Saccharomyces cerevisiae S288C: one gene and its partners. The protein of the gene in region 2 binds, or shares a complex with, the protein of the main gene of each other region. Each region holds a gene or a part of one and is shown on either strand. Other genes may lie near its edges.

Region 1 (4,543 bases), on a different chromosome or scaffold from region 2:
TAACTCCGAAAATATCATGAAAAAGAGGGTTATTTCCGTTCGTCGGGACATTGCTGTAGAGCTCTTCAATGGCCACAACTTGGGAGCGTTAATATGCAATCAAGTTGTAGGGAAGATTATATCTCTCCAGGGATTATTACCTGGGACACAGAGCTCTTTTCCTTATCTCATCTCACGCATCTAGACCCTGCTAGCCGTCGTTTCTTATTTGAAGCGTTAATCACCCTCACTTTTCGTCCGTAGCACGTAAAAAAGAAAAATAGGGTACCGTTTACCTGTCGTTAATATGCAAGTCATTAACAATCCAGCCCAGTACTTTATTTGCTATGGCACGGCATAGGCGCAGGGAGTTCACGATTTGGTCATCAATGATTATCACGATATGGGGGTCCTTATGATCTTGATGTTCTTTCAACTGCTCTTTGTTTCTTTTTTTTTTGTACGACAGTTTATGTGTTAAAGAACACATCCACTCCAATTTTGGGTCGTTTATACTTTTGTTTCGCTAATCTTAAGCCAACCTTGAGTTTATACCTAATTATATGCCACGTTAATGCACAAAACCCCTCGTAATAAACTTTCCTTGGAAGACTTTCTTTTTCTATTCGACGCATTTGGTTACATATCTGTTGGGAAAGAGCCCTTCGACTGCAAGTCCGGCATCAAGAAAGCTTGACATCCAAAGAAGCATTTAAGTATAAATAAATGAGACCCATTCTATCTTCTCAAATAAATCTTTTACAAATATGTGAACGTCAAAGCGCATACTTAATAAAAATTTATACTCTACACCACCTTCGTTATTACTTCACTGAAGTTTCCCTTTCCAGCAAGATATGGGCAAATTTGAGCAAAAAGAAAGAGAAAGAATAAGCACATTTAGTTTTCCTACTACGGGCAGTCAATCTAGTACATCCATTAAATCACTTGGCAGCCCACTCTATGGACGTTTCAGCTCTCTCTCTTCAACAGAATCTCAGTTCGATAGCAGCAAACAACCCCATGAGTACGAAAAGAGCTTTTATTTTGAAGAGTCTCAAGGCGAAGCTCTGTTCAACAAGCTGAAGACCTACTCTTTCCCTGGAGACAAGGATGGTGTGAAAACGAGGAGAAATTCCTCCATATGTCCAAGAAAGCCTAATGCGGTATCACCTTTAAGGGTAGAAAGTAATGAATTATCATCACATTCGCATTCACGTTCATTATCACACGAACTTACAAAGCCTTCAGGGCGAAGGAAAAGTTACCACAGAAAAAGTCATGCAATCTCATTCAGCAGGTCTTGTAAGCCAAATTTCATTGACGGGTACGATTCTAATTCAAGCATAGGCGTCAATTCAAGAAAAACTTCATTGGCAAGTTCTTTCTTGGACAAAGAATATCATTCTTCACCGGATACTTCATATACCCACCAAATGTCCCCGAAAAACACAATCATGAATACCAATGAACAATTAAGAAGAAACGCAAGCGGTAGATTCGGGAGTTTGAAAGAATTCGCTGAAAAAAATCAGATAAATATTGAGGGCAAAATTTTTGCTCATAAAGTGGAAACTGGAGACATATTGCAACCACTAATTGACTTAGATATTGACAATAAATGACTGGATCATTTGTCTCGCATTTTTTTTTTTCGTTTGTTTTGATAAATAAAGGACTTAATGTTAGTTTTGATAATGTTAAATGAATATATAAAAATAAACCATGTAAAGAGTATTTTGTTACGCTGTTTCGTTATAGCGTTATGTCAGTGTTATTATTTCTTATACGCGGAAAAGCCTGATCCATTCTGTTCTGAAACCGATCTTCATATTTTAAATTTCGCGAATTAACTAAAAAAAGAAAACAAACAAAAACTCGTTTCAAGTATTGCCAATGATACAAACAAAACGTTTCAAAGTATCTCCTCAACTGACGGACTTTGAAAGAGCCCGAAGATTTAAACAATGGACTGGGCAATCAAAGCAGCTAGGAAGAAAACTCAAAGGAAGCCAGGCTCTACCCGTTCAATCATAGAAACCCTCGATGATCTAAATAATCTAACAACAGATGCACATTCAGAAATAAATCAACGATTGTACGAAAGTAGTGAATGGTTAAGAAATAATGTTTATATGAATACACTCAAGTATGAAGACAAAAAGATGGAAGAGTCTTTAATTAGCCCCGAAAATACGCATAACAAAATGGATGTCGAATTTCCTAAAATGAAAGGAGAATATGAACTTTCTAACTCCCAGAATGATGCCGCAAAAGACGTTACTAAGACACCCAGAAATGGATTACATAACGATAAAAGTATCACGCCTAAATCACTCCGCAGGAAGGAAGTCACCGAAGGAATGAATAGATTTAGTATACATGATACCAATAAAAGCCCGGTTGAGCCATTGAATAGCGTTAAAGTCGACGCCAATGAAAGCGAAAAATCCTCACCATGGTCACCTTACAAAGTTGAAAAGGTTCTAAGAGAATCCTCCAAGACTTCGGAGTCTCCGATTAATACAAAACGCTTCGATAATCAAACATGGGCGGCTAAGGAAGAAATGGAGAATGAACCTATACTTCAAGCTTTAAAGAAAGCTGAATCAGTAAAGGTGAAACCACCACCGAATTCTGGGATAGCGAGATCTCAAAGAAGGTCGAATATGTTTGTTCCACTGCCGAATAAAGATCCTCTTATTATTCAACACATTCCACCAACAAAATCTTCAGGATCAATACCAAAAGTACGAACAGTAAAGGAATCACCAATCGCATTTAAAAAAAAATCTACGATAAATAGTCCTGCTATAAGAGCTGTGGAAAACAGTGATACCGCGGGATCTACAAAAGCATCCAGTGTTTTCGATAGGCTATCATCTATTCCAACAAAATCATTTGAAAACAAAATTTCCCGTGGAAACGTTGGTCACAAATACTCCTCTTCATCAATCGATTTAACAGGCTCCCCCATGAAAAAAGTTTCTCAAAAGTTTAAGTCAATAAACTCCACGGATACTGATATGCAAGAAGCGTTAAGAGATATATTCTCAGTAAAAAATAAAATAACCAAAAATAATTCACCCAAAGGAAAAAACTCTCGAAAATCCTCTATTCCGAGGTTTGATAAGACTTCTTTGAAGCTAACGACACACAAAAAGCTAGCAATCATTGCAGAACAGAAAAAGAAGTCCAAACACTCTAGTGATGTTCATAAAACTGGTTCAAGACCGCACAGTATTTCTCCAACAAAAATAAGTGTCGATTCAAGCTCGCCATCTAAAGAAGTTAAAAATTATTACCAAAGCCCTGTAAGAGGTTATTTGAGACCAACAAAAGCGTCTATTTCGCCTAATAAAAATAAAAATTTAACAACGTCGCAAACGCCACATCGTTTGAAAATTAAAGAGAAAACATTAAGAAAACTTTCTCCGAATATTGCTGACATCTCCAAGCCAGAGTCTCGTAAATCCAAAAATTATCGGCTTACAAACCTTCAATTACTTCCACCAGCAGAGGCAGAACGAGATGACTTAAAAAAAAAGTTTGATAAAAGGTTATCAGGAATTATGAGGTCTCAACAGGAACATCATCGGCGTAAACAAGAGAAACAAAAAAGGATGTCGCATTTGGAACAAGATCTAAAAAAGCAAACAAGCTTTAGTAATGACTACAAGGACATACGTCTAAAAGAATCTTTGGCTCCTTTCGATAATCATGTGCGAGATACCATCAACAAAAATACTGCATTTAGTACCGACAATATATTGGCCACAATAAATACAGTTGACCATCGAGAAATAATCGGAAATGTGACCCCAAAGATAGCCTCTGTCAATGATTCTTTACCAGAGATAAATACTGATTCTGAAGATGAGGCTAGCGTAACTTTAGCGGCATGGGCTAAATCCCCGTATTTGCAAGAGCAATTGATAAGACAGCAAGATATAAATCCACAAACTATCTTTGGACCAATTCCGCCTTTGCACACCGATGAAATTTTCCCAAATCCTAGGCTAAACAGGTTGAAACCGCGTCAAATTGTGCCCAAAAGGTCTTGAATTCGATTACCCCAGAAAAGAAAAATTCAAACTGGTTAACATTAAATCAAGTACACTTTAAATACTCTGGTATTCCCCCTGCATTACGTATATCGTTCACTTTCTTTACTTTTCCTTCTTGCTTTGTTATTTCTATCTACAACTTTGCGTTACATATTTTTAACTATTTGACACTTCACACAGATCTTCTTTCTAAGGCTTTTTGCTTATCCCACTTGGAAATCCACCCTTCACTTTCTACCTTTGGCACAATATATATTTTCAAAGCGTTATCGAACAATGGTACATCTGGCGACTCTTTCTTCAAGATATCGTGAAATGTCAGTTTCTTACCAGCTTTAATCAAACCACCTGCCTTTGTTTCCATGAACACCAACACTTTCTTTGGTGTGAAGTTTTCCTTACCTTCTTTTTTGAAGCGTTCTTGCGGCCCTTCCAAAACTAGGTCAACAAGTTCTTGCACAGTAGTTAACTCACTTACTTCACCTACAAAATCAAAT
Region 2 (5,410 bases):
ATTACCAGTTTTACTGCAGCCATCGTACAATTTTGGAACGAGTATAAAGAGAGAAATTAAAAACGACAAGAAATATTCGTACTAGCTTCTCTTCCGGCTTGATGACAGTCTTAATATCATCTGCAACTCTTGAAATCTTGCTTTATAGTCAAAATTTACGTACGCTTTTCACTATATAATATGATTTGTCAATGTGATGAGTGAATGTCTCCCTGTTACCCGGTTTTCATGTTGATTTTTGTTTCAGGCTCTAAATGTTTGATGCAATATTTAACAAGGAGAACAGAAATGTTTTGTGACAGCACCTGTCAATTTTAGGATAGTAGCAATCGCAAACGTTCTCAATAATTCTAAGAATGACATCAGTTCAAAACTCTCCACGCTTACAACAACCTCAGGAACAGCAACAGCAACAGCAACAGCTTTCCTTAAAGATAAAACAATTGAAGTTAAAAAGAATCAACGAACTTAACAATAAACTGAGGAAAGAACTCAGCCGTGAAAGAATTACTGCTTCAAATGCATGTCTTACAATAATAAACTATACCTCGAATACAAAAGATTATACATTACCAGAACTATGGGGCTACCCCGTAGCAGGATCAAATCATTTTATAGAGGGTTTGAAAAATGCTCAAAAAAATAGCCAAATGTCAAACTCAAATAGTGTTTGTTGTACGCTTATGTAATGATAGTAATAGAATCCAAAAAAAAAAAAAATATACATGCTTTTTCATATCCTCTCTCACCCTATCTTTTTTTTTCTTCTAATTTTGGCTCCGTTCATATCTTATTCAAAATTAATTCAGCGGTAATCTTATCTTTATTGTTAGACTTCGCAGAAATTTCCTTTAGCTTCGATGCAGATAGTTTGATCAAGTCATTTTGTTTATTACGTCCCAGTTCGCGAGAAATGATGTTAACCAATGCCCACCCTTTTAGGTATAGTTCGCTAAGTTCAACGCTCCTCAAAGCATTCTTTAATGCCTTTTCCAAGAGCTCGGTCTTGGTTTGTTTCTTGCTACGTAGAGCCTCATAATACAGAGTCTCACTTAGCCTACCAAAACAAGCGTAATTGAATGGTGTAATACATAGGACCTGTTCCAAACAATAACAGGCTTTTTCAAATTGGCCCATTTCGAAATAAATCTCGCTGGCATACCACCACAATTCTGCATCAAGCGGGAATTTATCTGTAAGAGCTACCACTTCTTTAAGAACACTTTCTTGGCTCAAGTTCTTGGAAGTTGTCTTGATAGCTATCAATTTCTTTGCAATAGAGACATAAGTAACGAAGTCCGTTTCATACTCCAGATCATCATTCAACAAATTTTCCAGATATTCAATAGCGCCTTTATCATTTCCGTTTATCTGCAATAAAGTGGCTTTCATGATTACCATTTTATACGAATTTTCACCAAGACGATCTCTTAATGTATTATAAACAACTTGCGCATCAACGTCTTGGTTTCGGTACACCAAAACATAGAAAAGCATTTCCATCAAGAAGAAATAGTTTCCTTCTGTTAGTGCAGAGTCTCCGCTTTTCATGTAAATTTTCATTTCATTTTCTAGTTGCAGTAATTGTTCTGGATTAAATTGAGTATACGCTTTGGTATTCATAATTGTCAAAAGCTTTTCTCTAACCAAATCCTTCAACATTGTTTTATCTACTGCTTTCTATAATTTTCTCCGTTCCAATGCGATCCAATGCCTTTCATTCATACATAGTTATTTATTTCATTAACGATCCAAATCTCTTTACTTAACTTCACTAGTCAACGCTTCTAACACATCACGCGATACGAAGATTAACAGTTTAGTATAATATTGCAATACATACCCATTTCACACATCGGTCAAGGTCATCAAGCACTTTTAGTTATAGTGTGTCCTATAGTTCTTTCAGATTGATTGAGGTTTCATATTAGTGTTGAAAGCCTAGCTAAAGTTCTCTGGGCGTGCAACATTCGAGGACACATCGGTTGTTTATACCTCATGGGATTATGGATGGTCAAATAGATAAAATGGAGAAGCGATATAGCATGACCAAACTGGAGAATAGGTTAAGGACTTTCCAAGATGGTGTTGCACTTGAAAAAAAAAAGTTAAAGTGGAGTTTTAAAGTTATTCCGTATCAGGCAATGGCCAAGCTTGGATTTTACTTTGATCCAGTGATCGATCCTAAGACATCTAAACTGAAAAAAGACTCTGTAAGATGTTGCTATTGTCATCGTCAAACATACAATGTGAGAGACTGCAGATCCAAAAGAAAAGATGTTCTTGAGACTCTAAGCAATATAATGAGGCAACATCTGACTGTTACTGATAACAAACAAGTTTGCCTCCTTATTTACTTGCGCAATAAGCTATTGACGGACTATAGCTTCCATATGGGGGTTTCGGACTGGAAAAATGACAAGTACTTCAGCAATCCAGATGATGAAAACGTGATAAACCTAAGAAAATTTACTTTTCAAGATAACTGGCCTCACAGTGGTTCTCAAAATGAACATCCGCTGGGTATAGAAAAGATGGTGAATGCAGGACTCATGCGATACGACTCCAGCATAGAAGGCTTAGGCGATCCAAGCATGGATAAAACACTTATGAACGATACCTGTTATTGTATTTATTGCAAACAGTTGTTACAAGGTTGGTCAATAAATGACGATCCGATGAGCCGACATTATAAGGTTTCTCAAAATGGGAACTGTTATTTCTTTCAGACACGTAATCGATTTGAGAGAATAAAAAATGACAATGACAGTATCACGAAAAATTGCGAAGTCTCTCCAACTTTAGGCGAAAATGGGAAAAGAGAAGTGATCAACACGAAAACCGCTTCTCAAAGGCAGTGTCCTTTATTTGAGTCACCTCCATCTAGTACTGGTCCTCAACTTGACGATTATAATGAGAAGACAGATATATCTGTTATTCAACATAATATAAGTGTGCTTGATGGAGCACAAGGCGAAAATGTAAAACGTAATAGTGTGGAAGAAAAAGAACAAATCAACATGGAAAATGGAAGCACTACATTAGAAGAGGGCAATATAAATCGTGATGTTTTAGCAGATAAGAAAGAAGTTATTTCGACACCAACTGCAAAAGAAATCAAACGTCCAAATGTCCAGCTAACCCAATCATCGTCACCTATAAAAAAGAAAAGAAAGTTTAAGAGAATATCGCCTAGAAAAATCTTTGATGAGGAAGATAGCGAACACTCCCTTAATAATAATTCTGCCAACGGAGACAACAAAGATAAGGATTTGGTTATAGATTTTACAAGCCATATCATAAAAAATAGAGATGTAGGGAGAAAGAATGCTATTTTAGATGACAGCACAGATGAATTCAGTTTCAGTAACCAAGGACATAACACATTTGACATACCTATACCAACCTCATCACATTTGCTCAAAGGTATAGATTCAGATAATGACAATGTTATACGAGAAGATGATACTGGCATAAATACAGACACAAAAGGAGCGTCTTCTAAACACGAAAAATTTTCTGTTAATTCTGAAGAAGATTTAAATTTCAGTGAAGTGAAACTCACAGGTAGAGACAGTAGTACTAATATTCTTATAAGAACGCAAATTGTAGATCAGAATTTGGGTGATATCGACAGAGATAAGGTCCCCAATGGTGGATCCCCAGAAGTTCCAAAGACACATGAGTTAATTAGAGATAACTCTGAAAAGAGGGAAGCACAAAACGGGGAATTTCGACATCAAAAAGATTCAACTGTACGGCAATCTCCAGATATATTACATTCTAATAAAAGTGGTGATAATTCCAGTAATATTACCGCAATACCCAAAGAGGAACAAAGGAGAGGCAATAGCAAAACATCCAGCATTCCCGCTGATATTCATCCTAAACCAAGGAAAAACTTGCAAGAACCAAGAAGCCTATCAATAAGTGGAAAAGTTGTTCCAACAGAAAGAAAATTAGATAACATCAATATAGATCTAAATTTTTCGGCGTCCGATTTTTCACCATCATCACAATCTGAGCAATCATCAAAAAGCTCAAGCGTTATTTCAACGCCGGTAGCGAGCCCTAAAATTAATCTCACACGCAGTTTGCATGCAGTCAAAGAGCTTTCTGGCCTCAAAAAAGAAACTGACGATGGTAAGTATTTTACTAATAAGCAGGAAACTATAAAAATACTGGAAGATGTGTCTGTGAAGAATGAGACCCCAAATAATGAAATGTTACTTTTTGAGACTGGAACCCCGATCGCATCTCAAGAAAACAAGTCAAGAAAATTATTTGATGAAGAGTTTTCTGGGAAGGAATTGGATATACCTATAGATTCATCAACTGTAGAAATAAAAAAGGTTATTAAACCCGAATTTGAGCCAGTCCCATCAGTTGCAAGGAATTTGGTGTCTGGAACCTCTTCATATCCACGGAATTCACGTTTAGAAGAACAAAGAAAGGAAACAAGCACAAGTTTGGCTGATAATTCTAAGAAAGGAAGTTCATTTAATGAGGGCAACAACGAAAAAGAACCGAATGCAGCAGAATGGTTTAAAATTGATGAAAATAGACACCTTGTAAAAAATTACTTCCATGATTTGTTAAAATATATAAATAATAATGATGCTACGCTAGCTAATGACAAAGACGGTGATCTGGCTTTTTTGATTAAGCAAATGCCTGCAGAAGAGTTGGACATGACATTCAACAATTGGGTGAACCTAAAAGTGCAATCTATTAAGCGCGAATTTATAGATGACTGTGATAAGAAATTGGACATATTGAGAAGGGATTACTATACTGCCACAAATTTTATTGAAACTTTGGAAGATGACAATCAATTGATCGATATTGCTAAGAAAATGGGCATTTTATAGCTAACTAATTTGATAAACAGGCTAAAGGTTTGTATTTTTTGTAGTTTTGAAACTGTGTATAGAATGTTTCGCCGCATCGCAGATATCTGCAGGGAACTGTTGACATAGCATCTTCTGTGGACGTGACAACGTTACGTATATTCGTTGATACCGCAAGTCTATAGCGTATACATGCTAAGGCAAAAAGTTTCAAAGTGAATGCATTATGTATTTATATGTAAATAAGTAAGAAAAGTGGGATTTTGAAAATAAAGGTGTAGTAGGACAGTAAGTATTCAATGAAATACAATTATAACATATCTTCATCGGGCGTTCCTGATGCTTCATCCATTTGAGAATCAATGGCAGTGTCAGGCATTGATTCGTCAATTGTGTTGTTGTTATTGTTCCTAACCATGTTCTGATTACGAAGTCCCATTTGGAGATTCCTCATCTGGTCAGGTGATATTTGCATTCTATTGCCAAACTGACGCCAGAAATTTGGATTTTCTGTTTCATTGTCATCATTACCATTGTTAGTTTCATTGTTACTTGTATCG
Region 3 (3,598 bases), on a different chromosome or scaffold from region 2:
ACGTACTAAAATAGTCTCTTCGGTTGTAGATGAAGTTCTGGTAAAGGAATTGTCTACTACAAACTGAATCGCATGATCTACTTCGGCCAAATCCACATCGTCTTGCTTCTCGAAGTATGCAGTATGGAAAGCCTTGGCATCATCTGAAATATATGCAGTTTGCTTGAAATTAGTATACTGCTGTCCAACCCATTCATATTTGGTGGGGTAAGAATTCTTTTTCGTTTTCAGTAGAATCCAAAGTATCAATAAATCATAAGTAGATTCAAAGATGACCTCTTCACCATCTTCGTTGCTGAACAGCGAAGGTAATTCAGTTTCTGCAAAAGCAGGGTCATTCTTAAGAATTTTGCTCATGGTTAGCAATTGGTGCTTGTTCTCTGACAGCATTGTTTTTTCTAGTTTTTTCAACCTCGTTAAAGCCTCTTTTAAAATTTGTTTTTGACCTTTAGTATAAACGTCAGCACAATAGACTCTGTAAGGATCAATTGCATAAGAGTCATCAGTTGCAGGTGGTCCAGTAATGCTGTTGAGTTTGCTCTGCAATGCATTTCGTAGCATTTGTATACCCTGCAAACGGGCTCTCAAATCGTGTAGATCCTCCTCTTCGGCCTTAGAAAGGTAGGTAAAAAGATCCAGTAATGGTTCTAAACATTGTTCATTTTGTATGTTAATGAAGTAAGTCACCCCATTGATGTAGTCTGTAGCACTACGAGTAGCCTTCTTTTCTTGCTGGACACAGTCTTTGTTTTCAAAAGCATAAGTGGTGTAATCCGAAAGTAAGGGCAGCTTCAAACTAGGTTCTGTTTCAAGAATTGTAGATACCACATCTAATGGCAATTTAACTTTCAAAGCCACTGAGTCAAATATGTTGTCTTCTAAAACAAATCCATATCCAGAGAGTAACTCCTCATTTCCCTTACCGCCATAATTATTTGATAGTTCTCGTGATTGGGAGGCGGTACCGATTTTTTCATAACAGAACCACCCATTTTCAGGATACCATTTGACTTTGGAACGGTAGTCATGATTTAGAAGATCGACGATGGGAAGCAGTACAATAGAGTTGTCAGGACAGTTTCTGTTTAGCACATATTCAGGGAATGCTCTTGAAATGAATATAAGGTGCGACCATAAAAATGCAGGAAAAGAATACCAGATAGTTGGTCTTTGAAGTTCTGTTATCTTCAAAATCTTCTCATACAAAGCCTCATATGTCAACTCATCGAGATTATGGAAGGTCTGCACATCATCTGCCACTCTTTCCAAGTCAAACATATCTGAAGAACTGACCAGTTCAAACCACTCTTTAAATATACCTTCGAACTTTTCATGAATCGAATTCCCTATGTTTGTAGATGATAAACGCTTCAACTCGCTTGGGTTCCAGACCAAGGGCGAATTTAGGCGGGAAGGCAATGCATCCAAGTAAGGTTTAAATTTATCATTCACACGAACATTGTCCACGATAGTATCATTATCCCTATCAAATTTTATTTTTGCGAAGAACAACTTCAGCCATCCGTTGATATTCTTAGTGGATTCACTTAGCCCAAAAAACTTCATGGGCAGATTCCTTGAAATGACAATCTCGGGAGGAATCTTGATGCTGGGATTGTCTATATCTTTTTCACATACGCAAATAATGCCCTTAAGATCGGTATATAAAAACTTGAGTTCCTCTGGCACTATTACACCAAATGACGCACCCCACTGAAGTAGTGCTTTTAACGCATCTGATGACATGATAGTCTTCTCTTGTATCTATAACCTTTGTGCTCCATTTTCCGATACAGCATTGCTTATTGAACAGTAAGTTTAACTTCACGCGTTTTTCCTGTAAAGCGCTTAATTTGTTTACCATTCTATAAAAACCTTGAGCTAAGGCCAACTGATGCAATTGCTCAAGTGAATGCATAAACAAAGCAAGATCATTCTTAGCGCAAAAAAAACTGGGATTTTGAAATACAACAAAAGAAAGAAGTAAAAAGGGAATGCAACGCAATAGTTTAGTAAATATCAAACTAAACGCTAATTCGCCATCGAAAAAGACCACAACAAGACCAAATACGTCCAGGATCAATAAACCATGGAGAATATCCCATTCGCCGCAGCAAAGAAACCCGAATTCAAAAATACCTTCACCTGTAAGAGAAAAATTGAACAGATTACCTGTAAACAATAAGAAGTTTTTGGATATGGAAAGCTCCAAAATTCCATCACCTATAAGGAAAGCGACTTCTTCCAAAATGATACACGAAAATAAGAAGCTACCTAAATTTAAATCCCTATCACTCGATGACTTTGAACTGGGGAAGAAATTAGGAAAGGGTAAATTCGGTAAAGTTTATTGCGTTCGGCACAGGAGTACAGGATATATTTGCGCACTGAAAGTAATGGAGAAGGAAGAAATAATAAAGTATAATTTACAGAAACAATTCAGAAGGGAGGTAGAAATACAAACATCGCTAAATCATCCGAATCTAACTAAATCATACGGCTATTTTCATGATGAAAAAAGAGTGTACCTGCTAATGGAATACTTAGTCAATGGGGAAATGTATAAACTATTGAGGTTACACGGACCCTTCAACGATATTTTAGCATCAGATTATATTTATCAAATTGCCAATGCCCTAGATTATATGCATAAAAAGAATATTATTCATAGAGATATTAAACCTGAAAATATACTAATAGGGTTCAATAATGTCATTAAGTTAACGGACTTCGGATGGAGTATAATAAATCCGCCAGAAAATAGAAGGAAAACTGTCTGTGGGACAATTGACTACCTTTCTCCAGAAATGGTGGAGTCAAGGGAATATGATCACACTATAGATGCATGGGCTCTTGGCGTCCTGGCGTTTGAACTACTGACCGGTGCCCCTCCGTTCGAAGAAGAAATGAAAGATACTACATATAAAAGGATAGCAGCACTGGATATCAAAATGCCCAGTAACATTTCTCAGGATGCGCAAGATTTAATACTTAAACTACTAAAATACGACCCCAAAGATAGAATGCGCCTTGGAGACGTAAAAATGCATCCTTGGATACTAAGAAACAAGCCCTTTTGGGAAAATAAGCGGTTATAGAATTAAAGTATGACAGAATCGTTTGAAGGGCACTATTAATCACTCCCGCACATATCACATAATACTAAGTATCCATTTCTAATATTTCATTACTCTTTTCGGCATCGTATATTGCGATATTTGATTAAATTTTCTTGTTCATTTTTTCCTCTTTTCTTTCGCCTTTGTCGAAAGAAAAGAGGAAAACAAGCTGAAAATTGCTATGCATTAAAGTAGCAGATTTACTTTGTTGAGTTGGTTCTGATCAATAATAAGAGTAATGAAAGAAAGCAAAAAAATGGCTAAAGATAATTTAACTAATTTGCTCTCTCAATTGAACATTCAATTGTCTCAAGACGAGCATTCGCAGGTCGAACAGACTTGCGTGAAACTATTGGATTCTGGATGTGAGAATCCAGCGGATGTATTTAGACGTTGCTTAGTAGCTGTTATCCAACAGGACAAGTATCAAAAGGCTTTACATTATTTAAAAAAATTCAAACATATAGATGACAAGTACG

The links. Proteins that work in one complex are often made in the same cells at the same time.
Region 1: BIR1 (region 2) and SLI15 share a complex: the UniProt entries of both Saccharomyces cerevisiae proteins name them as parts of the CPC complex.
Region 3: BIR1 (region 2) and IPL1 share a complex: the UniProt entries of both Saccharomyces cerevisiae proteins name them as parts of the CPC complex.

Annotation. Positions count from the first base shown.
Region 1 is NC_001134.8:550,604-555,146, reverse strand, and holds SLI15 (Sli15p), read left to right. Parts: upstream 1-1,946; coding exon 1,947-4,043; downstream 4,044-4,543. Other genes in the region: ICS2 (Ics2p), read left to right, coding at 837-1,604; HSP70/90 family co-chaperone CNS1, read right to left, coding at 4,219-4,543. UniProt on the Saccharomyces cerevisiae protein: Component of the chromosomal passenger complex (CPC), a complex that acts as a key regulator of mitosis. Stimulates IPL1 kinase activity and facilitates its association with the mitotic spindle.
Region 2 is NC_001142.9:585,712-591,121, forward strand, and holds BIR1 (survivin), read left to right. Parts: upstream 1-2,006; coding exon 2,007-4,871; downstream 4,872-5,410. Other genes in the region: STE18 (Ste18p), read left to right, coding at 357-689; EMC2 (Emc2p), read right to left, coding at 784-1,662; SCF ubiquitin ligase complex subunit GRR1, read right to left, coding at 5,161-5,410. UniProt on the Saccharomyces cerevisiae protein: Component of the chromosomal passenger complex (CPC), a complex that acts as a key regulator of chromosome segregation and cytokinesis.
Region 3 is NC_001148.4:155,990-159,587, reverse strand, and holds IPL1 (aurora kinase), read left to right. Parts: upstream 1-1,994; coding exon 1,995-3,098; downstream 3,099-3,598. Other genes in the region: RKM1 (protein-lysine N-methyltransferase), read right to left, coding at 1-1,746; signal recognition particle subunit SRP72, read left to right, coding at 3,376-3,598. UniProt on the Saccharomyces cerevisiae protein: Component of the chromosomal passenger complex (CPC), a complex that acts as a key regulator of chromosome segregation and cytokinesis.